Linked DNA regions of Callithrix jacchus. The protein of the gene in region 4 purifies or fractionates together with the protein of the main gene of each other region. This does not show direct contact. Links are inferred from orthologs where the notes say so. Each region holds a gene or a part of one and is shown on either strand. Other genes may lie near its edges.

Region 1 (5,707 bases), on a different chromosome or scaffold from region 4:
GTTCGGGTGATAGATCTTTGTTTTAAATGTGATCTTCGGTGGTTTGAATGGGTACTCTGCTGGAAAGTTGATTTCGATTCTGAAGGCCCCCTTATCATACGGAGGGTTGTCAGGAACAATAAGCCCTTGCCAAGTCAATAAATTAGCTTCATCAACCTGGATGTTACGGAAGTTTTTCATTCCACATTTGCGGATTTCTTCAAGCTCCTTCATCAGCCTCCTGCTGGCCGCCATCTTGGATTTGGTGGTGCTCCTTCCCCCGAAGCTTAATGTTTAACAAGTGTTTGTGATTTGAAATAACACAAAATTTAAAATGATGATTTCTCCAACTTGAGGAAGGAAAAAAATTAGCCAGGTGTGGTGGCGCACACTGTAGTCCCAGCTACTCGGGAGGCTGAGGCAGGAGAATCGCTTGAACCCAGGAGGCAGAGGTTACAGTGAGCTGAGATTGTGTCATTGCACTCCAGCCTGGGCGACAGAATGAGACTTGTCTTAAAAAAAAAAACAGATACTGCATAACTGCCCCCTTCCTGCTGTGGTACTGTAAACTGATGGGAACAGCTCACAGGAGATCAAGTTTGAGAGCCTGGGGAAGAAAGGCAAAGACAGGACAAAGCCTACCGGGCCTGGCTGGGCCTCAGCAGACAATCTGGAGGAGAAAGGGGCATCAAAATGCTAAGTAGAGATAAGCCCAAGGAAGGGTAATCATTGACCCGTTGAGAGTGTTATGGGGCAGGTACCACCCGTCCATCCTGTCTTCCTGCCTCAGGTACCCTGGGAGTAGCACTAGTTTTAATGCCTCAGTTGCCCTGCCTGACTCCTAAGTAGATGTTAAAGGCTACTGCTGTCTGCTCATGTACAGCTGTCACACTTACCAATGTGTATACTTTAGCAGTAGATTCTGTGGATCTGTGGAGTTATAATCGTGAAGTTTTTCTCTCCAATTGTTAACCTCAAGGGAAGCAAGTATCTTACACTCTCACGTATCCCTGCCATATAGCACATGGTAGAACCTTTTTTATTTTTTCGAAGACAGTCTGGCTCTGTTGGAGTGCACAATCACGGCCCACTGCAGCCTCAAACTCTCCAGCTTAAGCGATCCTCCCACCTCAGGCTTCCAAGTAGCTGAGGCTACAGGCGTACACCACCAGCCAGGCTAATTTTTGTATTTTTAGTAGAAACGGGGTGTCGCCGTGTTTCCCAGGCTGGTCTCAAGCTCCTTGGCTCAAGCGATCCGCTCTCTTCAGCCTCCCAAAGTGGTGGGATTGCAGGCGTGAGCCACAGTGCCCGGCCAAAACATTTTGATTAATTTGTGCTGTACTTGGTTGACAATGGTGCCTCCTTGCTGTTCGCTCCATCTCCAGACTCCCTTCCACTTCATCTGCTCAAAGCACCATTTTCAAGATGCTACTTCGGACCAAAGAACTGAAGACCTGTCAGTAGCTTATACCACCCATGTGGAGTAGCATACACTACTTTATAACATCGTGGTTGTGTCGTGAGGACTTTAAGATTTTGAAGTTCCTTGTGGGCTGGAGTCCTGTTTGCCGCAACTTTACCGTGCTAGGGTTAGAATGTTTTATGAAACCAAAGCACAGCTCAGCCTCTGACCGGTTCAAGCCCCCCCTTCCCTTCCGGGACGGAGAATCATAGAGCAGCCTGGCGCAGCTAGGCCTCCTGGCGCCATAGAGACGCGCAGAGGACTGCTAGAGCGTTGCTCGCCAAGGGACTTCCTTTTCGTTAGTCCTCCTTCCCAACATGGCGCAGTCGATTAACATCACGGAGCTGAATCTGCCGCAGCTAGAAATGCTCAAAAACCAGCTGGACCAGGTGGGACGAGCCCCAGAAGCGCCTCTTTCCTGCTCTACATCCCCCCTGCCCATGCGTACTTCCTCGCTCCCCGTTCCAAGTTGGGAGCCTGCCTTTCCCAGGCGAAACCTCTATCCGATCCCAGGATCCGCCCCCTCCCTGGCCGGGCTCCCTTCTCCCCGCAGCCCTTTCATTGACTCTATTCCCGTCCTCTGTAGGAAGTGGAGTTCTTGTCCACGTCCATTGCCCAGCTCAAAGTGGTACAGACCAAGTATGTGGAAGCCAAGGACTGTCTGAACGTGCTGAACAAGAGCAACGAGGGTATGGGGTAGGCGGGTGAGGGCAACCTAAAGTGGCGAGCCAGCTTCTCTCGTCCCACTTCCTAATCCAGTTTTTCTTAACTGAAACGAGAAAATCCATTACATCTCGTATGCCGCTTCATGAACCCTTTGCATGTTGCCTACCTAAAATTGAAATGTACAGGACATACCTCTGCTCCTGTTGCCCCTGTTTCCGTTCTTTTCACACTGTCTGTGGGTGCTGTCCCCTGTTGGAACTCTCTTTAATGTCTTACGTTGGAGCCGCTAACCTTCCCCAGGTGTTTGTCTTCATTGCTTTCACAGGGAAAGAATTACTCGTCCCACTGACGAGTTCTGTATCCTTTCCACAGGAACGGCTACCTGCTGCCTTCTCCCTTTCTCCCTCACTCTCCCCCAAAAAGCGGGGAGAAGGGTCGTTTTGATTACTTCAGATTCCCCTCCCCCGCAACGTTTTTGAGAATACTCTTACTACACACTATGTAGCTCTTATATCTAACTTCACACCAACATCCAGCTAATGCCTTGTGAATACCAAGGAGTATGTCGAGTTGAGATGTAATATTTCCCTTTGCTGTTTGAGAACATTAATATGGAGATAAAGCTGGTGGTTTACATTTTGCTAATAACTTAGAAGACACAGGCAATAGACAAAATAGGAGGATATAGAAACAGGTATGTTGACTGTTAATCTTCAATTTCAGCTTAATTGTGGCTCATTCCTAAACTGTCACTAAGGAACCTGGATTGTGTCCACTTGCTGAATGTCTTACTTGAATGAGCGAGTTATGGCAATACGGCACCTTTGTAGTCTGAGAACTGACAGGCTAAAAAGAACACAGGAATAGTATAGTAGGGAATCGTTAAAAAAAAAAAAAATGGCTGGGTGCTATGGCTCACAGCTGTAATCCAAGCACTTTGGGAGGCTGAGGCGGGCAGATCACCTGAGGTCAGGAGTTCAAGATGAGCCTGACCAACATGGGAAAACCCCATCTCTACTAAAAATACAAAATTAGCCAGGCATGGTGGCACATGCCTGTAATCTCACTTAGGAGGCTGAGGTCGGAGAATCTCTTGAACCTGGGAGGTGGAGGTTGCAGTGAGCTGAGAGTGTGCCATTACACCCCAGCCTGGGCAACAAGAGCAGGACTTCACCTCAAAAATAAAAATAAAATAAAAATTCATCAAGAATTAGCTACTTCATGATTGAGGGGGTTAAGGGAAGTGAGGCTAGCTTTCCACTTGTACTCTACAACAGTAGGAAAACATATCTAGTCTTTCTGGAGGGGCTAATGGGAAGAACTGCAAGAACTGTTTAGAGGGTGAGAGATGGGATGAGGCAGGACAAGAGAGTGTTCCAGCATACATCATTTTCTCCATAAAGAACCAACTTCTGTCTTCTTTCCATTTGGAGTTATAGATATTGTTCTAAGGCCTCCAGATTATTCAGTCCTTATGCCTTGTAGCTTTTTGGAAAACGAGGGTCTTTAGAGGCCAAGCAGGCTGGGTTGCAGAATCACAGCTCATGCTGGGCTAGTTTTTCCCTTAATACTTGCTCCTCAGATGTATGTCCCTGGGAAGCTGCATGATGTGGAGCACGTGCTCATCGATGTGGGAACTGGGTACTATGTAGAGAAGGTGAGTGAGAGCATGTGGATGCCCCTCTGAACAGGGAAGGGAAATTTAGGGAAGAGCTAGAGTGCAACATGGCCAGAGGGTATCTCCTTTTAGCCCCTCGTTCACCTCTGATCTTGCAGACAGCTGAGGATGCCAAGGACTTTTTCAAGAGGAAGATAGATTTTCTAACCAAGCAGATGGAGAAAATCCAACCAGCTCTCCAGGAGAAGCACGCCATGAAACAGGGTAAGCTTTTCCTGGGGCACCTCTTGACCGTCTCTATCTCCATGGTAAAGAATGTGGATTGGAGTGTGAAGCACAGGGGTGTCCCCTTTGCTGGATTAAAACTATGTCTTAGTTGCTCTTTGGCATCTTTAGAATCTGCGTACTGCATAATCACTATTTGTAGATTTCTGGGTTGAGCGTTTGAGAAATTGAGAGGAAAGAAATATGTGTGCTTTGGTGGAGCTCCTATTTAATGAGGATAGAATGGGGGATGAGATAAACACACAGGAAGGAATCATGACCCAAACGAACTAATTACCAGCAATTACAACCCCGGCTGCACATTAGATTCACTCAGGAAGTTTAGAAAGAAAACGTGGGTTAATTCCAGATCAACTAAACCTGGAAGTCAAGGGAGGCGAAGTTATACCAAGGTCAGTTTTTTTTTTTTTTTTTAAAAGCTCCCCTCGGCCAGGCACATGGCACACACCTGTAATTTCAGTACTTTGGGAGGCCGAGGCAGTTGGATCATGAGGTCAGCAGATTGAGACTATCCTGGCCAACATGGTGAAACCCTGTCTCTACTAAAAATACAAAAATTAGCTGAGCGTGGTGGCGAATGCCTGTAATCCCACCTGCTCAGGAGGCTGAGGCAGGAGAATGGCTTGAACCAGGAAGGTGTAGATTGCAGTGAGCCGAGATCACCCCATTGCACTCCAGCCTGGCAACGAAGTGAGACTCTGTCTCCCCCCAAAAAAGCTCCCCTCTGTTAAAATCAGAATTCAGAACCAGTGTTCTAAAGGTAAAAATCTTTCCACATTATAGTCTTCTGATTATGTGTGAAAGGTAAAAATCTTTCCACATTATAGTCTTCTGATTATGTGTGACTCATTTAGTGTTTGTTTTTATATCTGCGGTTAGCATCTTTTTTTTCAAGACGGAGTCTTGTTCTCACCATAGACCCTAAATTTGTGTTAGTGACCTCACAGTGGATCACTGAGTTTTATTAATGCCGGGTGCGGTGGCCTATGCCTGTAATCCCAGTACTTTGGGAGGCCAGTGCGGGTGGATCACCTGAGGTCAGGAGTTCAAGACCAGTTTGGCCACCATGGTGAAACTTGGTCTCTACTAAAAATCAAAAATTAGCTGGGCGTGGTGGTACATGCCTGTAATCCCAGGTGTTTGGGAGGATGAGGCAGGAGAATTGCTTGAACCTGGGAGGCAGAGGTTGCAGTGAGCCAAGATCATGCCACTGCACTCCAGCCTGGGTGACAACAGTGAGATTCCATCTCAAAAAAAAAAAAAAAAAAGTTCTATTAATAAACTGCAGTTAGTTGTTCTCCTGTCCTTAAACTTGCCTGTCACTTCTTAACTCTAGATTCTCCTTTTTGCTTGTCACCAAGATCTGACTCATCTTTTTTTCTACAGCTGTCATGGAAATGATGAGCCAGAAGATTCAGCAGCTCACAGCCCTGGGGGCAGCTCAGGCTACTGCTAAGGCCTGAGAGTTTTTACAGAAATGGGGAGGGACACCCTTTGGGCATGGCTTCCTGGTGCTGGAAAGGGAAGGGTCTTGTGTTTAATGCCAATAAATGTGCCAGCTGGGTAGAATGTTGGTCTTTTCTTGGATTAAGCAAGGGATTGGTGATGAGATTGCGGGGGTGGCCGAGAGTGTGGGCCTCGCCCCAGAGCCTGATGCACAGGGGTGATGCGGTTCTCTTCTTGGAGGCTCCACCGCA
Region 2 (5,706 bases), on a different chromosome or scaffold from region 4:
AGCACTTTGGGAGGCCAAGGCAGGTGGATCACTTGAGGCCGGGAGTTGGAGACCACCTGGGCAACATGGTGAAACCCATCTCTACTAAAACTACAAAAATTAGCCAGGCGTAATGGCAGGTGCCTATAAATCCCAGCTACTTGGGAGGCTGAGGCAGGAGAATCACTTGAACTGGGGAGGCCGAGATTGCAGCAAGCAGAGATAGTGCCACTGCACTCCATCCTGGGCGACAGAGGGAGACTGTATGCCAAAAATAAATTGTCTGGGCGCTGTGGCTCAAGCCTGCTATCACAGCACTTTGGGCGGCCAAGGCTAGCGGATTGTTTGAGCTCAGGAGTTTGAGACCAGCTTGGGCAACAGGGTGAAAACCTATCTCTACAAAAAATACAAAAATCAGCTGGGTGTGGGTGGTGCACACCTGCAGTCCCAGCTACTTGTGAGGCTGAGGTGAGAGGATCACTTGAGCATGGGAGGTAGAGGCTGCAGTGAGCTGTGATCGCACCATTAGATTCTAGCCTGGGTGGCAGAGTGAGATCCTATCTCAAAAAAAAAAAAAAAAAAAAAAAAAGAAAAAGAAAGAAGAAAGAAAGAAGGGAGGGAGAAAAGAAAAGAAAACATATACCTACAGAAAAACCAAAAAAACAAAAAATCCAAGTGACTTGCTCAAAGTCACATAATTAGGAACCAGACATAGATTAAAGGTAGAGCAACTCTTGAATTTAGATCTGGCTGGTTCCAAATTCTCTGTGCTTCTATCTCCCTAACAGCTTTCCTTCTTTCTTCTCTCTCTCTCTCTTTCTTTCTTTCTTTCTTTCTTTCTTTCTTTCTTTCTTTCTTTCTTTCCTTTCTCTTTCTTTCTTTCTTCCTTCCCTCTCTCCCTCCCTCCCTTCCTTCCTTCCTTCCCTTTTTTTTTAATTAAATAAAATAAATTTCCAACTGGGTGTGGTGGCTCACGCCTGTAATTCTAGCACTTTGGGAGGCCGAGGTGGGAGGATTACGAGGTCAGGAATTTGAGACCAGCCTGACCAACATGATGAAACCTGGCCTCTACTAAAATTACAAGAATTAGCTGGGCGTGGTGGAGCGCACCTGTAATCCCAGCTTCTCGGGAGGCTGAAGTAGGAGAGTTACTTGAACCGGGCAGGCGGAGGTTGCAGTGAGCCATCATCGCACCACTGCACTTCAGCCTGGGCGACAGATTGAGATTCCATCTAAAAATAAAATAAAATAAATAAATGAAAATAAATGTCCTAAATATTCATGTAGCACTTTCTCTTAGCATAACAGTTTTTAGAGCAGGTAAACATATTTTTTTTTCTCCATTTCCAAAAGTCAATTATTATCTATCCTTCTGGTTCAAATGCCAGGTCCTTTTATGACAGACATTCTCAAAAACGTGATGCACAGAGGAGTTACACCATTAGGTCACTGGATGAGTTTGCAGAAGTGCAAATTTCTAGACCCCATTCTCAAAGATTCTAAGCACGTTTGAGATGAGACCCAAAGAAGCTGTTTGTTTTTTTAAAAAAACAAAAACAAAAACAAACCCAAACGTATTCAGCCTCTCTTGAGAATCACCGTGTCTAGAAGGTCTTCGGGAGGCTTTTGGAAGAAATAAGTTCGTCTTGGGAAGAACACTGTAGATAAGCTTTCCACTAGTCTTTCCCAAACTGTTATGCCTGAGGTTCAGGACTTACTCATTCCTGACAGCACAGTGAATAGCTGAAGGACGGATCGGCTGGCTGATGAGGGTTTTACATCTACAAACATTTCAATTTAGCAGCACACACTAAGCTAGCTGGCAAATTGCTTAAAGCCACCTAAGAAATCTGCGCGTTGGGCTATGTCTGGAAGATGTGGAGGAGAAAGTCAGTCCTGACCGGTCAGATAGGGAAGACACTGAATCCGAAACCCAAATATCTCAGGGGTCAATTCACAGAGAATGGGAAGAAGCTGGGTTAGTTCAACTCATGCGCAGGCGCAGAAGACGGACGCTCAAACTAAGGCGCGCCCTTCCCCCACTCTCTTTCGGGCCAACTCCCACTGCGCAGGCGCCTAGAGTGCACCAAGATGGCCGCCCCCGTGGATCTTGAGTTGAAGAAGGTAAAAGAGGGTCTTGGGCAAGCGGAAACCTTCTCTTAGGAGGTTGAGGGGACTGTAGGTAGGAATTTCGAGTGAGGCCCAAGCCTTGCAGAAGGAAGGAGGGTTCAGTGGATTAGGGAATGGTTTCCCAGAGTCCTAAGCCCCAATGGGTCTCCTTAAACTGGGGTGGGGGCGAGCGGCTCTTGCTGGGTAGAAGCCGGTTGGTTTGGGTGGGATAAGTCTGTGAGCCTATTTCGGGCCTGCCCAGTCTTTCTGAGCTCCAGAGACATGTCGTTGAGTTTGGAGCCTTCAGGGACTCACTTTCATAGTAGCAACTATAGAGAGCATTTCAAATGGGGGTCCCTTCGGACCCCTTGCCTGAGCTGTGGCATCCATAACTGCCTTATTTGCTTTGAAAAACTCCAAGTCCAACCTTTGTTTTTAGGCCATGTATTCGGTTCTATACTTTGAAAGCTTGCAGTCTGAACAGTTTGAAAAATCAGGGATTCTAGCAGCAATGCTCATTTCAGGATTTTGACCCCCTCCTCCTTCTTTTGAAGGACTTGTCAAAAAAAAAAGTAAAGTGTTCCAAATAAAACTGGTATCAGAAGGAATTAGGTTTCCCGCTTTCCTCAAACAGTTGCTTATAAATGTGTTTTTGCTTAGATTTTTGCTAAGAATGATCAGTATTCTAACACTGCTGATGACCCCAAACCAGTATGCTGTGTACAGTGGGGTGGATTGGAAAGGACCCTAGGATTTATCTATTTTAAATCTACTTTTCTAGAAAAGTATGTCAGAGGTTGGGACTAGAATCCGGTATTTTGTCTTACCTCCTACTTTTTTGACCATTATTTTGGGTTCTTCAGATGAGCAACATCTTAGTTAAGACTGCCTCTGATCAACCTGTGCAAAAGAAATAGGACAGCCGAAATAACTGTTGCTCCTAACAGATGAAGCTTTTACTACTGTTCTGAGGATATTATGTGTTTGTGTCTTGCTTTTTGTTATTCCTGCCTTCAGTCTTGTAAATCTAGCCCTTAGGTGTTCCCTAATCTTTAGCATTTACTAGCTTCTTTAGCAATCTGTACAGAGCAATCAGACAATACCGGAATTTTACATTCAAAACAAAATTGTGCATTCTAAAAATTTACCTTTTTTTCTATTAAAAATACAGATTTAAATCAGGGTTTAGTGAATGGACTTGCCTCCTGGTACTTTTGAATTTGTTGCTGCATTTGAAACATGTGGACAGTGAATGCAAACTAAGGAAATGATTACAGTCCTAAACTGAATAATTTTGACAACCAATTAAAAACTTGTTTAAATATTTTATCTTCTTTTTTTTTTTTTTTGAAACAGAGTTTTGCTCTTGTTGCCCAGGCTGGAGTGCAATGGTATGATCTCAGGTCACTGCAACCTCCACCTTCTGGGTTCAAGAGGTGCTTCTGCCTCAGCCTCCCGAGTTGCTGGGATTACAGGCATGCACCATCACACCTAGCTAATTTTATATTTTTAGTAGAGATGGGATTTTTCCATGATGGTCAGGCTGGTCTTGAACTCCCGACCTCAGGTGATCTGCCCACCTTGGCCTCCTAGAGTGCTGAGATTACAGATGTGAGCCACTGTGCCCAGCCTAAAGGTTTTATCTTCTAATGTTGTTACAGGGTCCTTTTCTTGGGTGGAGACAAATAGGAAATTTCAGGCCCCTTCTGTCCCCCAAAATAAATCTTTCTAAACCTTACTAGTAGGTGAAAACAGGGTCAGAATAAAAATTATGTAGTAGCTTTTGCTGTGCATTGCAGTCACAACTGTTATTATTAAGGTACAAATTTGACAGCATGTGAAAGTCATTCCGGGCACTTCAACAAGAATATCCAAGAACTGTTTATCTCCAGTACATAAGGGTCAGAGTTGGCCTGATATGTGTGGATGAAGATCATGATGCAATTCTTTTGTCAGTGCTTTGCATTTTTTCTCACTCTCTTTTTGATCTTCCTCTTAAAAATATTTATATTTTGAATATTACTATAGACAGTAGAATGGAAAGGTTCCTGAACTAAGAGGTTAGAAGGAATGGATTTAAATACCTGCCTTTTCCCCAAAAGTGGCTTGTGCAAGCCACTTTTATCTCTTAGCTCATTTAGTTATGTAATTTTTTTTTTTTATTATTCAAGGAGTCTTGCTCGTCACCCGGGCTAGAGGGCAGTGGCACGATCTCAGCTCACTGCAACCTCCGCCTCCTGGGTTCAGGTGATTCTCCTGCCTCAGCCTCCCGTATAGCTGCGACTGCAGGTGCCCGTCACCGTGCCCGTCACCATGCCCAGCTAATATTTGTATTTTTAGTAGAGACGGGGTTTCACCATACTGGCCAGACAGGTCTTAAACTCCTGACATTGTGATCTGCCCACCTCAGCCTCCCAAAGTGTTGGGATTACAGGCGTGAGCCACCACACCCAGCCTAATTACTTAATTTGTAAATTGTGGATGATGAAACTGCCAACGCTAACTCACGGGATTATTGAGAAGCATAAATGAGATTTATCATTATATTTCCTCATTAATATTCTTATATTCATATTCCCATGTAATATTTCAAACTAATGTGAGAAAGTGCTTTGAACCTAATTGTGCAATACAAATGTGAGTTGTTACTTTTATGGTTCTTGTTTTAAATTTCTGGATTTCATCCTTGACTGTTGCATTTATTTCTTTTATTAATCCTTGAGTACTTGACCTTTGTTTTTTTTTGAGATGGAATCTTGCTCTGTTACCCCGGCTGGAGTGCAGTGGCGCAGTCTCGGCTCACTGCAGTCTCTGCCTCCTGGGTTCAAACGATTTCCTCTGCCTCAGCCTCCCGAGTAGCTGGGACTATAGGTGCGCACCATCATGCCCAGCTAATTTTTTGTATTTTAGTAGAGACGGGTTTTCACCATGTTGGCCAGGATGGTCTTGATCTTCTGAACTTGTGATCTGCCTGCCTCAGCCTCCTAAAGTGCTGGATTACAGGTGTGAGTTACTACACCTGACCAAGTACTTGCCACTTAATATGGTTATTGTTTAACGTGCATTGTTTTGCATCACGCTGATGTATCTTCTGATGATTGTAAATTGAGTATCTAGTATAGTGTCTTGATTATTTACAATTATGTTGACTTTTATTGATGTTTGCTTTGGTAAATTCCACAGCTTTGTCTCTGGCTAGCATGTTTTGTTCTAATATATTTGGATTTGACATAAATGTTTTCTGTAAAATGTTTTACCTATTAAGACATGGACTTGTTTTTATTAGGCCTTCACAGAGCTTCAAGCCAAAGTTATCGACACTCAACAGAAGGTGAAGCTGGCAGACATACAGATTGAACAGCTAAACAGAACGAAAAAGCATGCACATCTTACAGATACAGAGATCATGACTTTGGTAGATGAGACTAACATGTATGAAGGTGTAGGAAGAATGTAAGTAAAGTATGTCCTTAATAGAGTTATTTTGGGAGTGCTTTTCTCTGAATTAAATAGAATTTGTTCATCCTAAAACTTGAGTTAGGCCGGGCACAGTGGCTGAAGCCTGTAATCACAGCATTTGGGGAGACTGAGGGGGGTGGATCATTTGAGGGCAGCCTG
Region 3 (4,658 bases), on a different chromosome or scaffold from region 4:
CTCACCCTCACAAGCAAGCAAATCGCAGGACTCTCGCCTCATCAACAACCCAAACATACAGTGGGAATGGCTGAAATGGGCATGGCTGAAGTGGTTAAGGAAACACATTTTAGTTCAGGAGTCACTAGATTCAATGTTACCTCCCAGTCCGAGAGTAGTTTAGTCTGTAGGGTCCAAACTGCCGCAGATTCAAGTCAAAGTGCTGGGAAAGAGTGAAGAAAAAAAAGAAAGAATGAGTTCTCTGCAGTAACGCTTCTTCTAGCCCCCATTCTTCTCTTGTCCTGCACCACCCATCAACCCTTTGGCTCCTTTAACTCCTCGCTCACCTTGGCTGCACTTGCAATGTCCACAGCCTCCACAATGTCAGCCTGGCATATTTTTGCTGTGTCTTCCCCATCCTCCCCTTCCAGAAACCTGAAAGCAAGGGTTAGGATGGCAGTAAAGTTTCCCAATATGAAACAAGTGTACCAACATAAAAACGAGAGAGTCCTATAAAGCAGGGAATGGGGTGGCCCAGATTAGGGCCCACTCACCCAGGTTCCTCAGCAAGCAGCAGCTCAGAACGAGCAGCTTTGATACTTGTTTCCTCTTCCTCAGCTTCCGCCACCTCAAGTCGGCTTCGAGCTTTGGCTTTAGACTGTGGTAGCTTTAACATTGTTGGTAGACAGGAGTGGTAGAAGAACCACAGAGTAAGTGGGGTCACAGGAGGGCTACCTGGCTCAGCCTCCATCCAACTCACTCAGACACTCCCGGCCTCCAACACTTCCCAACTCTCCAGCTGGACCTCACCTTTCGGGATTTGTCAATGCGACAGAACTTCTGGACCACCTCCACAGGGACGGGGGCGGGGCCTGGGAATGGGTCCTGGGCCTAGGGGAAGGAAGGACGCAATTAGCAGGCAGCCTTAAATTGACCCCAACCCCTTCACTCTCGACCTGCCTCGCCACCCATTAGGTCCCACGCTCACCCCGGACAAGCTCCGCTGGGACTCCGAATTCTTCCATTCTCGGGGTTTCTTCTGGACCTGAGGCTTCTTAGAGATCCGAGACTTCTTTAAGATGTGAGTACTTTTTGCTCCCTGGGGACGGAGCTCCCGATTCTTCTTGTTAGGAGGAGGCCCTGGAGAGGCTCCGGCTGCGGTCGGAACAGTCTCTTCCTCCCAGTATCGCCGAGGTTTCTACGGGCAGATCAGTAGCCCTAATAACTCCGCACCTACGCCACGCCCCCCGACTCCGCAACTAAAAACTTATTTTCCCACCCAGAGAGGCCTCTACCTTTTTCTTGGTCTGCAGTTTGTCCTTCTTGGGCGGGACATCCCTGCCCGGCTTGGGGGCCGTCTCCATCTCGCCCACCCGTACGGCGATCCACGTGCAAAACTCCTCTCAGCTGCCCTACAGTCGCCTTGAAAACTTCCGGAAGCCCTCTGTCCGTCATCCAATCAGCAGCGTACCAAATCTGAAGCTCTCTTAACGCCATCTTGAGTGAGGGCACGCTCTCTTTAGAGAGGCGGAACAGCTCTTGGCACCTTATCGCGAGCGACAGCTTATACAAGAGAGACTTTAAAAAAAAAAGGGCAGGTCCAGGACCAGGGACTAAGTAGCGGTGCGATTTCTTTTTCTGGATTAGTTTCCCCGTCTTGCCTAAAAATGTCCGAGTCTAGTCTTTTTAGCAGAACGCCACTCACTAAACATGTCAGAACTACACTTCCCATCAAGGATCAGAAAGAAACTTCCCGACACAGTCTTTTCCCAGCATTCTTTGTTTACTTCCGGGTTTATTACTACTAAAGGGAGAACGTGAGTAGGTTAGGATTTCGGTTGAGGGGTTCGGGGTTTCGCGTTTCGCCCATCATCTCCTGGGAACAGGGTGGAGTCGATATCCGGGACGTGGGGAGTTTGCGGTCCCCCTCAGGGCTGCCTCTTAAGAGTGCCATCATTTCCGCAGGCCAGATCAGAAAGGGGAACTCAGGTACCTTCCAGAGAGTAAGATCCAGCGCCCTTCTCTCGCTCCCCTTAAGCTTTCATCCCCGCCATGGCGGAGCTGATTCAAAAGAAGCTGCAAGGAGAAGTGGAGAAATATCAACAGCTACAGAAGGGTAAGGGAGCAGGGTCAGTGTGGCCTCGCCCGATGCACTCACAACCCAAAACCATACTAGGATAAGGTCTGTTGCCCCATCTGGGCCGTCGCGTGCGGAGACTTTCCCGCGTCAGTACTCGTCCCTATTCACTGACCCGCTGCCCCCATCCTTGTTTACTTCCTCAGATCCATTTCCTCCTGACTAGGATTGTGGGGATTGGTGGCACATTTGATGTTTCTAATCTTGCCTTTCCTCTCATCCCCAGACTTGAGTAAATCCATGTCGGGGAGGCAGAAACTTGAAGCACAACTAACAGAAAATAACATCGTGAAAGAGGTGAGGGACTGGGATTTGTGCGGCGAGGAGGGGCCTGTACTGGCCATGGTTCTGATTACATATGTCCCATCCCTCCATCAGGAACTGGCCCTGTTGGATGGGTCCAACGTGGTCTTTAAACTTCTGGGTCCGGTGCTGGTCAAACAGGAGCTGGGAGAGGCTCGGGCCACAGTGGGGAAGAGGCTGGACTATATCACAGCTGAAATGTGAGTCTAACTGAACCATTGGAGTAGAGGAGTTGAGGAACCATTGCAGAACAGCTCTCCATAGTCGCCCCTAGTCCAGTTCCTCCAGACCCCTTCCAACACCCCTTCTGCACCCTTCCCTAGATCTCAAGAAAGAGAAGTCTCTTTCTTGAGTTTAGCACCCTCCATAGTAAGTCCCACTAATTTCTCCTTTTCTGCTTGTCTTTCCTCAGTAAGCGATACGAATCCCAGCTCCGGGATCTTGAGCGGCAGTCAGAGCAACAGAGAGAGACCCTTGCTCAGCTGCAGCAGGAGTTCCAGCGGGCCCAGGCAGCAAAGGCAGGGGCTCCTGGCAAGGCCTGACCCCATGGTGGGGGAAGGGGAGGGGCGGGAATGAGGCAGCTCTGGGATCTATACTGTAGCTAATAAAATGCAAAAACACCTGCCTCTGTTTCCTGATCAGGCATATCTCCACAGCCCCTTCCACCTTAACACACACCACCTATATTACTCCCTCAGGTCCAAACTCTTGCACTTGAAATCTCTCTGTGGCACAGTGTTTTCTTTCTTGAAAGTGAAATCCCAAATGTCCTCAAACCTTCTTTTAACTCTCCCTCATCTTGGTTGGCATGATTCTTTTAGAAGGGCATTTACATTTGTGAATGTGAGGAATGTCAGTTTAATTGAAGAATACAGTTCTCTAACATGAGGCCCCAAGGTGAAATGTGATTACCCTCCTTGCCAGCAGTCCTGACATCTCTATTAGTACTTTTCAGCCTGTCTTCCTAGAATTTGCTTGAATATAGCTTAAACTGACTTAAAAGCCTAGCATGTAATGCTTTATGGTGTTATAAGTCCTCCTAAGTTTATATGTTGTCCATAAGGTTGTTCAGCCATTTCTTTGTCCAAAAATTGTTTTATACACATTTGCAGCATTGTTTGAGGAAACTGTTCACCAAGTAACTCACTTTTTGCTCCGTTCATGGGGATAGAAAACACTGTGCCCCTTCCTGCTCAATGGCAACTACCTTCAGCCAGTTCCCACCCCACTCATAGCAGCCAGTTCAAACACACTGCAAGTACAGGGGAGTAGAATTCAGGTAGTGTTTTGGTTTATTATCTTAGTGTTGTCACAGTGATAGAAACCCGAGTGGGAAAAGGAACTCCTGCAAGGACCTACTTTTTGCCATCCCCGTCTGCCCTGGGGCTCAGAGCCTTGAGGCCTTTGCTTGGCCCTTCACATGTTAGGATATGGCCAAGAATCAGAAACTGATGCTGTTTTCCAACACTACCTGTGTGCTGCACTGGTGGAAGGTGGGAAGCTATACACAGGTATCCAAGTTGGTTAGATTACCAGTTCCCACAGGGCTGGATTTCGCAGCTGTCTGGTAAACCAGTGGCACTTCACTGCCCCAGGGTGGCTGGCCCCCTTTCTGAATTTCTGTCTCATTGTGAAATAACAGCTACCATTCAGGATGGCTACCCACATCTGGTATGAACACCATGACTTCTGTAAGCCAATGAGGCTTCCTCCTCAGAACAGTGCCCGTGCAATCTTCCTCCCTGTGGCCTTGATCCTGGGAAAGGAGCCCCCTCCTCCCTCACTTGGAGGAGTCCCTGAGGCAGATGGGCCAGTGGCGATGCCAGGTGTAGCAGTAGAGGACCTTCGCCGCTGCCGCAGGAGAAAATCGTGTGAAGCTCCATCCATGGCGTAGAATACGTTAGCCGAGGCTGGGATAGTCAGCTCTGTAGGTTCAGAGGGTAGATATCAAGCACAAACACAGTCGTTCCCCCCCACAGCTGCCCAGATGTGGAAGCAGTCCATTCTCCTGAGGGCCTTTCCCTCATGGCCTCTGACCTCGCTCCCCTGGTAGCAGCTGTACTAGCTCATACTCTGAAGCCACTGCGGAGTCACGATTGTTTTTCTTAAGGACACGACTGACGACACTTGGAGCCTTGTCCTGGCTTGTCACCTGGCAGGACAGGAGACCAAAAGAGCAATCAATCAGCCATGATTTCCCATCCTCTACCCTTAGCCACTGGACCCAACCACAAAAGGT
Region 4 (5,780 bases):
AGGCACTGGAGAACTAGTTTGGAGTTCCGGCTTCATTGCCACGTAGTTGTAGGAATTTGGAGAAGCTGTACAGGTTCATTGAGCTTTAGTTTCCTCATTCACAATATGATGATACCAATTTGTTCCTCATTATATATAAAGACATATCTATGTCTATGTGTTTGATCATACATTATCTATGGAGATAAACCGGTAACAGTAATTGCCTCTGAGAAGAGAGACTTACTTTCCATTGCATAATTCTTTTTCTTTCATTGTGTATCATCTTTTTATTTCTTTTACTTTTTTTTTTTAGAAAGAAAGAAAAAAAAAGTGAAGGAGAGGAAGAAAGAGGAAGAAAAAGAGGGAGAGAGAACGGGAATATAGGTTTATTCTAAAAATGGCTATTAATAATGGCCAATCAATAGTTTGTGCATTTAAGGTGGAGAATGTATATTTTATGTATTTAAAATGGAGAGCTCTATAAATATTTATTGGGTTTACTTGTTCCAGATCTGAGTTCAAGTCCTGGATATCCTTATGAATTTTCTGTCTCGTTAAGTCTAAATCTCTTTATGAGTCTTATGTATCTGGGGGTTAGGATCGTTAGCTCTTATTGTTGCATTGATCCTTTTACCACTATATCTTTGTTGCTTTGAAATCTATTTTATCAGATGCGAGAATTGCAACTCCTGCTTTTTAATTATTTATTTTTGCCCTTCATTTGGTTGGTAGATCTTTCTCCATCCCTTTGTTTTAAGTCTTTGTGTATCTTTGGATGTGAAATGGGTCTGGATGCAGCATATCGTTAGGTTTTGCTTGTATGTTTTGATTGGGGGATTTAGTAGACTTAAATTTAGGGTTACTGCCATTTGATGTTAACCGGCTATTTTATCCATTCGTTGATGTAAATTCTTCTTTATGTTGATGCTCTTTACTTTTTGGTATATTTTTAGAAAGGCTAATACTGGTTGTTTCTTTCTATGTATAAGGCTTTCCATTGCATAATTCTTATGCTTATGGTGGAATTTGTGTGAGTGGATGAAGCACTGCTTCACTGGGAAACACTCCAGTGGAAGAAAGGACAGAAAAGGGCCTGAAGAGTAATTACTTGGTTCTATACGACAGATATGCTTTTACAGGATTGTAGCATAGGATGACATTGGGTAAGTCCATGGGCCTAGAAGCCTGGGTGGAGTTCTTAGGATTTTGTATGTGGACTATGAGGTTCTGGAAACGTTTCAGCTGGAGAGAAGACATTCTGATCAAAGGTGGCTTTCGGGAAAGGTTGGTGCGACAGGCAGGGTATTTATTAGAATGAGGCCCGTGACTCCAGTCTGAAACAGACACAAAGTAAGTTCCCTTCAATGGCCGGGCGCGGTGGCTCAAGCCTGTAATCCCAGCATTTTGGGAGGCCGAGGCAGGTGGATCACCTGAGGTCAGGAGTTCGAGATCAGCCTGGCCAATATAGTGAAAATCCATCTCTACCAAAAATACAAAAAAATAGCTGGGCGCCGTGGCGCGTGCCTGTAATCCCAGCTACTCGGGTGGCTGAGGCAGGAGAATTGCCTGAACCCAGGAGGCGGAGGTTGCGGTGAGCCGAGATCGCGCCATTGCACTCCAGCCTGGGTAACGAGAGCGAAAATACGTTTCAAAAAAAAGAGGCAGGAAGCTCCTTGGGATGGTGAGACCAGAAAGGCACAGAGGCTGAACGCTTGTGATGGCGATAGGTCTGAGGTTCGCTCGCATCCGAGAGCGAATTCGGTCGCTCCAGAGGCCATTGTCAAGGCTGCTGCGAGTTCTAGGGTCGGGGTGGGGTCAGGCTAGGTCCCCATTCCTAGGGCTTTAGCACAGCTCACTCACAAGACTCCTTTTCCCAAGAGGACGTAAGGGTTTTTCCTGCCGCTCCAGCTTGTCTTCTGCGGCCCTTCCACGCTTGTCACTTACCTGAGCGCAGCCAATCAGCACCTATTTCGACCAAAGGAGAACCGGAACTTGGTGGGGGGACCTTTCCTGCGCACCAATGAATGTGTACGGAGAGGCGGGCCTGTAGGTGCGAACGAGCCAATCACGAAATCCTGGTGGGCGGTGGCTCGGAAGGCAGTCGAGCACTCGCATCCCCAAGATGGCGGCCGCGAAAGACGGTAGCGGCAAAGGAGAAATGGCAACAGGGAATGGGCGGCGGCTCCACCTGGGGATTCCCGAGGCCGTGTTTGTGGTAAGAAGCACGCTGTTCCCTGGCATCTTGGTTCGAGACTGCGGACTGCCCCTTTGTTTCCGGCTCACACCTAGGCCTCTACTGTTGGAAGGAGCTGAGCTAAAGGTTCAGGGACCGGGTGCTCGGCCCGCTCTCACTCTTCTTTGCACATGGAAAGATTGAGCTCTGCTGCGGCCCGCCCGGAAGACACGTAGCTCGAGAAGGTCCTAGAAGAGAACGGGGTGCGGGGCCTGGGCGAGGGTGAGGGGCGGCGGGGCGGCCTTAGGGACCTGCCGGCTGCGGCTGGTTTTCGAGCCCCCCTGCTGCTTGGAAAAGGGGAAATGGTGAGGAGCTCTCGACTCCGCCTAGTTGCTGGAGAGACAGTACAATGAATAGGCAGAACAGCTAGTGCCAAGATGTGAAAACAGGGAGGGCCGGGCGCGGTGGCTCACGCCTGTAATCCCATTACTTTGGGAGGCCGAGGCGGGTGGATCACAAGGTCAAGAGATCGAGACCATCCTGGTCAACGAGGTGAAACCCCGTGTCTACTGGAAATACAAAAAATTAGCTGGGCACGGTGGCGCGCGCCTTTAATCCCAGCTACTCGGGAGGCTGAGGCAGGAGAATTGCCTGAACCCAGGAGGCGGAGGTTGCGGTGAGCCGAGATGATTGCGCCATTGCACTCCAGCCTGGGTAACGAGAACAAAACTCCGTCTCAAAAAAAAAAAAAAAAAAAAAAAAGAAAAAGGGAATATCACCGTGTCTGTTGAAGGAATGCCGTGGTCTGTTGCCTTGGGGGAAGTAGAAGAAGTAGGATGATGGGGTGAGAGTGTAAACCCCTTCTATGGCTTCGTAAGGAATGAGGTTTTTTTTTTGTTTTTTTTTTTGAGACGGAATTTCGCTCTCGTCACCCAGGCTGGAGTGCAATGGCGCGATCTCGGCTCACCGCAACCTCCGCCTCCTGGGTTCAGGCAATTCTCCTGCCTCAGCCTCCGGAGTAGCTGGGATTACAGGCGCGTGCCACCGTGCCCAGCTCATTTTTTGTATTTTTAGTAGAGACGGGGTTTCACCTCATTGACCAGGATGGTCTCGATCTCTTGACCTTGTGGTCCACCCGCCTCGGCCTCCCAAAGTGCTGGCAATGCACTGCCATTGCCTACTGTAAAAGGCCTTTGGTTTCAGGTGCATCATTCTAACAACTTAGTGGAGAATGAATTGTTGAGAGAAGAGGCCGAACCCTCGTGTTGGCGCTGGGTCCCAGATTCACTGGCATCCGAGAGGGGATCGGGTCGCTCCAGAGGTTGTTCTGGAGGGCGCTCCCTGTTCTGAGTGCCTTTTTAAAAATTTTATTTTATTTAGAAATAGTATTTGAAGACTATTTGAGTAATGAGAGAAAATGTCTGACTGGCCCTCCAGGCCAGCTCATCTGTCTGTCCCCATTTAGTTTCTGAAAGTTTCTGAACCTTTTGATTTATACCTTTCCTTACCTCTGCCTTTTTACTGATCATGTCTTATGTCCTTCAAAACTCTAATTTATTTACACCACACTTGATATTGTCTATTTGCATTTGCTGATTACATTTTGTAATTGTTTATTATTTTGTGTTTTCATGAGCTGTGCCATTTATTTCTTTACATTAATCTATTATCTAATCATAACAAGGAATAAAATTTGTTGAGTGCTGGGCACTTTCTTAATGATTTTACTAAACTCTAGGTATTAGCTACTGTTAGGTCTGTTTTTAGATGTTAAAACCGAGGTACACGGCCCTTGAGTAACTTGCCCCAGGCCACACAGGATGTAAATGAGGTATCCAGGATTTGAACTTCGGCAATCTGTGGGGGTCCACACCGCCAGCTTACCCCTCATGCTCTGCTGCTGTGAGGAGGTGAGGTAGTTCTCATGCATTATGTCATTTCTCCTGGCCCTAGAATAGTGCCTGACACATAGTATAAACTCCTATGTGTCTAATTGAATTTCCGTACTGACTTAAATGTTACATTCGTAGTGCTAAGCTAGAGAAATCTGTCTCCACAGTATACACTTTATCTGAGGGCTTTATAACATCTTAAAATGCTTTTTCCCTACAATGTCATGGCTATTTTTTTGTAGACCTTAAAATTTCTATTGACATAATGTAATAAGCAACCCAATTTTATATAATTGTTTTTGTTCCCAAACTGTTAATAATTGAAGTGACATGGTATTGTTGAAAGATCATTGGCTTCTAAATCGACCAGGATTTGAATCCTGGCTCTGCGTCCCAGTTGCTGCTTAGCCTTAAGCATATTATTTTACCACTTTGAGCCTGAGTTTCTTTAACCTAAATAGGGATGACAATACTTAGACAGTTGTTATGGGAAACAGAGAACAACATGCTTGAGTATTGCAGTGTAGTAGATGTTGAATAGGTATGATTGCCCATGATGCTAGGAGTCAATATACCATAGTTGTTAGAAGTCAGACCTGGTTCTTTCCCCAACCCCCCTGAGGCAGTAATTTGTTTTCTTTCTCTGCTTGAATTGTTCTTTCACCGTTGTCCGTTTCATGACCTCTTCATCTTTCCACTTGTAGTTCAGATATCAACTCCCTGTAGTTTTTTCTGACCTCTACCCCAAAACGAAATCCCTAGCACTTTGTGTCCCAATGGCACTTTATGCTATAGATAGGTGTCACATACTCTTAGAAGCATCTCCTATATGCTCACTCATTTAATCCCGGGTGATGAAAAGTACTTGTACAGATGATGAGGAAATTGAGGCAAAGAGAGGTTAACTAACTTTCCTAAGGTCAACTCATCTAGTAAGTGGTAAACCTAGGATTCAAACCAGGCACCCCATCTCTTAGCCTATGCTGCTGTAGTTAATTCATGCTAAACTTCAGCACCTAATAATATGTATCATGTGCTAAAACTCAGGCTTCTTTCTCTTCCCTGCAGTGACCCTTCTAGGAAGGTGACATCTCTCTTTTACATACAGAACTCAGCCATTAACTCTCAGCCTTACCTTTGCAATTTCATTTACTGTCTCTAGTTTGATGGCTTCATAGTTCACTCCCTTGCTGTGTTTCTCTTCCTTTTTCTTCATTGTTTCAGCTAAGATATTCTCTGGTAGCTAATAAATATGGATACGAATAATGATGTGGGCTGGGCACGGTGGCTCATGCCTGTAATCCCAGCATTTTGGAGGCCGAGGTGGGCGGATCACAAGGTCAGGAGTTCGAGACCAGCCTGGCCAACATCGTGAAACCCTGTCTCTACTAAAAATACAAAAAAATAGCTGGGCATGGTGGTGTGAACCTGTAATTCCAGCTACTCGGGAGGCTGAGGCAGGAGAATCGCATGAACCCAGGAAACGGAGGTTGCAGTGAGCCGAGATTGTGCCATTGCACTCCAGGCCTGAGCAACAGTGTAAGACTCTGTCTTAAAAAAAAAAAAAAGAAGAATGATATAAAGATCTTAGAAGCCATAATTAAAGTTACTTATGATAAAGAACTAAAGTTCCGTAAAGTACTAAACGGCTTTTGTAGCATCTAAGTTTCCATATATTTTCATCTGGTTTCTGATCCTTATCTAATTAACTAGCCTTTCTTCAAGGACCAGCA

Evidence for each region.
Region 1: the proteins of VBP1 (region 4) and PFDN5 purify together in Homo sapiens (affinity purification with mass spectrometry; 7 studies listed by BioGRID and IntAct, counting the BioPlex papers as one, with this or other methods). This does not show direct contact. The link is inferred for Callithrix jacchus from reciprocal best matches to the Homo sapiens genes VBP1 and PFDN5.
Region 2: the proteins of VBP1 (region 4) and PFDN1 purify together in Homo sapiens (affinity purification with mass spectrometry; 4 studies listed by BioGRID and IntAct, counting the BioPlex papers as one, with this or other methods). This does not show direct contact. The link is inferred for Callithrix jacchus from reciprocal best matches to the Homo sapiens genes VBP1 and PFDN1.
Region 3: the proteins of VBP1 (region 4) and PFDN6 purify together in Homo sapiens (affinity purification with mass spectrometry; 6 studies listed by BioGRID and IntAct, counting the BioPlex papers as one, with this or other methods). This does not show direct contact. The link is inferred for Callithrix jacchus from reciprocal best matches to the Homo sapiens genes VBP1 and PFDN6.

The regions. Positions count from the first base shown.
Region 1 is NC_133510.1:66,255,484-66,261,190, reverse strand, and holds PFDN5 (prefoldin subunit 5), read left to right. Parts: upstream 1-1,733; 5' UTR 1,734-1,758; coding exon 1,759-1,830; intron 1,831-2,027; coding exon 2,028-2,130; intron 2,131-2,432; coding exon 2,433-2,464; intron 2,465-3,689; coding exon 3,690-3,764; intron 3,765-3,883; coding exon 3,884-3,989; intron 3,990-5,396; coding exon 5,397-5,473; 3' UTR 5,474-5,574; downstream 5,575-5,707. Other genes in the region: ubiquitin-conjugating enzyme E2 L3, read right to left, coding at 1-234. UniProt on the Homo sapiens protein: Binds specifically to cytosolic chaperonin (c-CPN) and transfers target proteins to it. Binds to nascent polypeptide chain and promotes folding in an environment in which there are many competing pathways for nonnative proteins.
Region 2 is NC_133503.1:38,674,566-38,680,271, reverse strand, and holds the start of PFDN1 (prefoldin subunit 1), read left to right. Parts: upstream 1-2,042; 5' UTR 2,043-2,070; coding exon 2,071-2,103; intron 2,104-5,374; coding exon 5,375-5,541; intron 5,542-5,706. UniProt on the Homo sapiens protein: Binds specifically to cytosolic chaperonin (c-CPN) and transfers target proteins to it. Binds to nascent polypeptide chain and promotes folding in an environment in which there are many competing pathways for nonnative proteins.
Region 3 is NC_133505.1:41,530,791-41,535,448, forward strand, and holds PFDN6 (prefoldin subunit 6), read left to right. Parts: upstream 1-1,760; 5' UTR 1,761-1,796; exon of another isoform or gene 1,797-1,804; intron 1,805-1,944; 5' UTR 1,945-2,031; coding exon 2,032-2,095; intron 2,096-2,342; coding exon 2,343-2,413; intron 2,414-2,494; coding exon 2,495-2,619; intron 2,620-2,831; coding exon 2,832-2,961; 3' UTR 2,962-3,044; downstream 3,045-4,658. Other genes in the region: WDR46 (WD repeat-containing protein 46), read right to left, coding at 141-202, 327-414, 534-646, 790-870, 968-1,177, 1,275-1,343; RGL2 (ral guanine nucleotide dissociation stimulator-like 2), read right to left, coding at 4,133-4,344, 4,457-4,571. UniProt on the Homo sapiens protein: Binds specifically to cytosolic chaperonin (c-CPN) and transfers target proteins to it. Binds to nascent polypeptide chain and promotes folding in an environment in which there are many competing pathways for nonnative proteins.
Region 4 is NC_133524.1:150,955,500-150,961,279, forward strand, and holds the start of VBP1 (prefoldin subunit 3), read left to right. Parts: upstream 1-2,081; 5' UTR 2,082-2,104; coding exon 2,105-2,197; intron 2,198-5,780. UniProt on the Homo sapiens protein: Binds specifically to cytosolic chaperonin (c-CPN) and transfers target proteins to it. Binds to nascent polypeptide chain and promotes folding in an environment in which there are many competing pathways for nonnative proteins.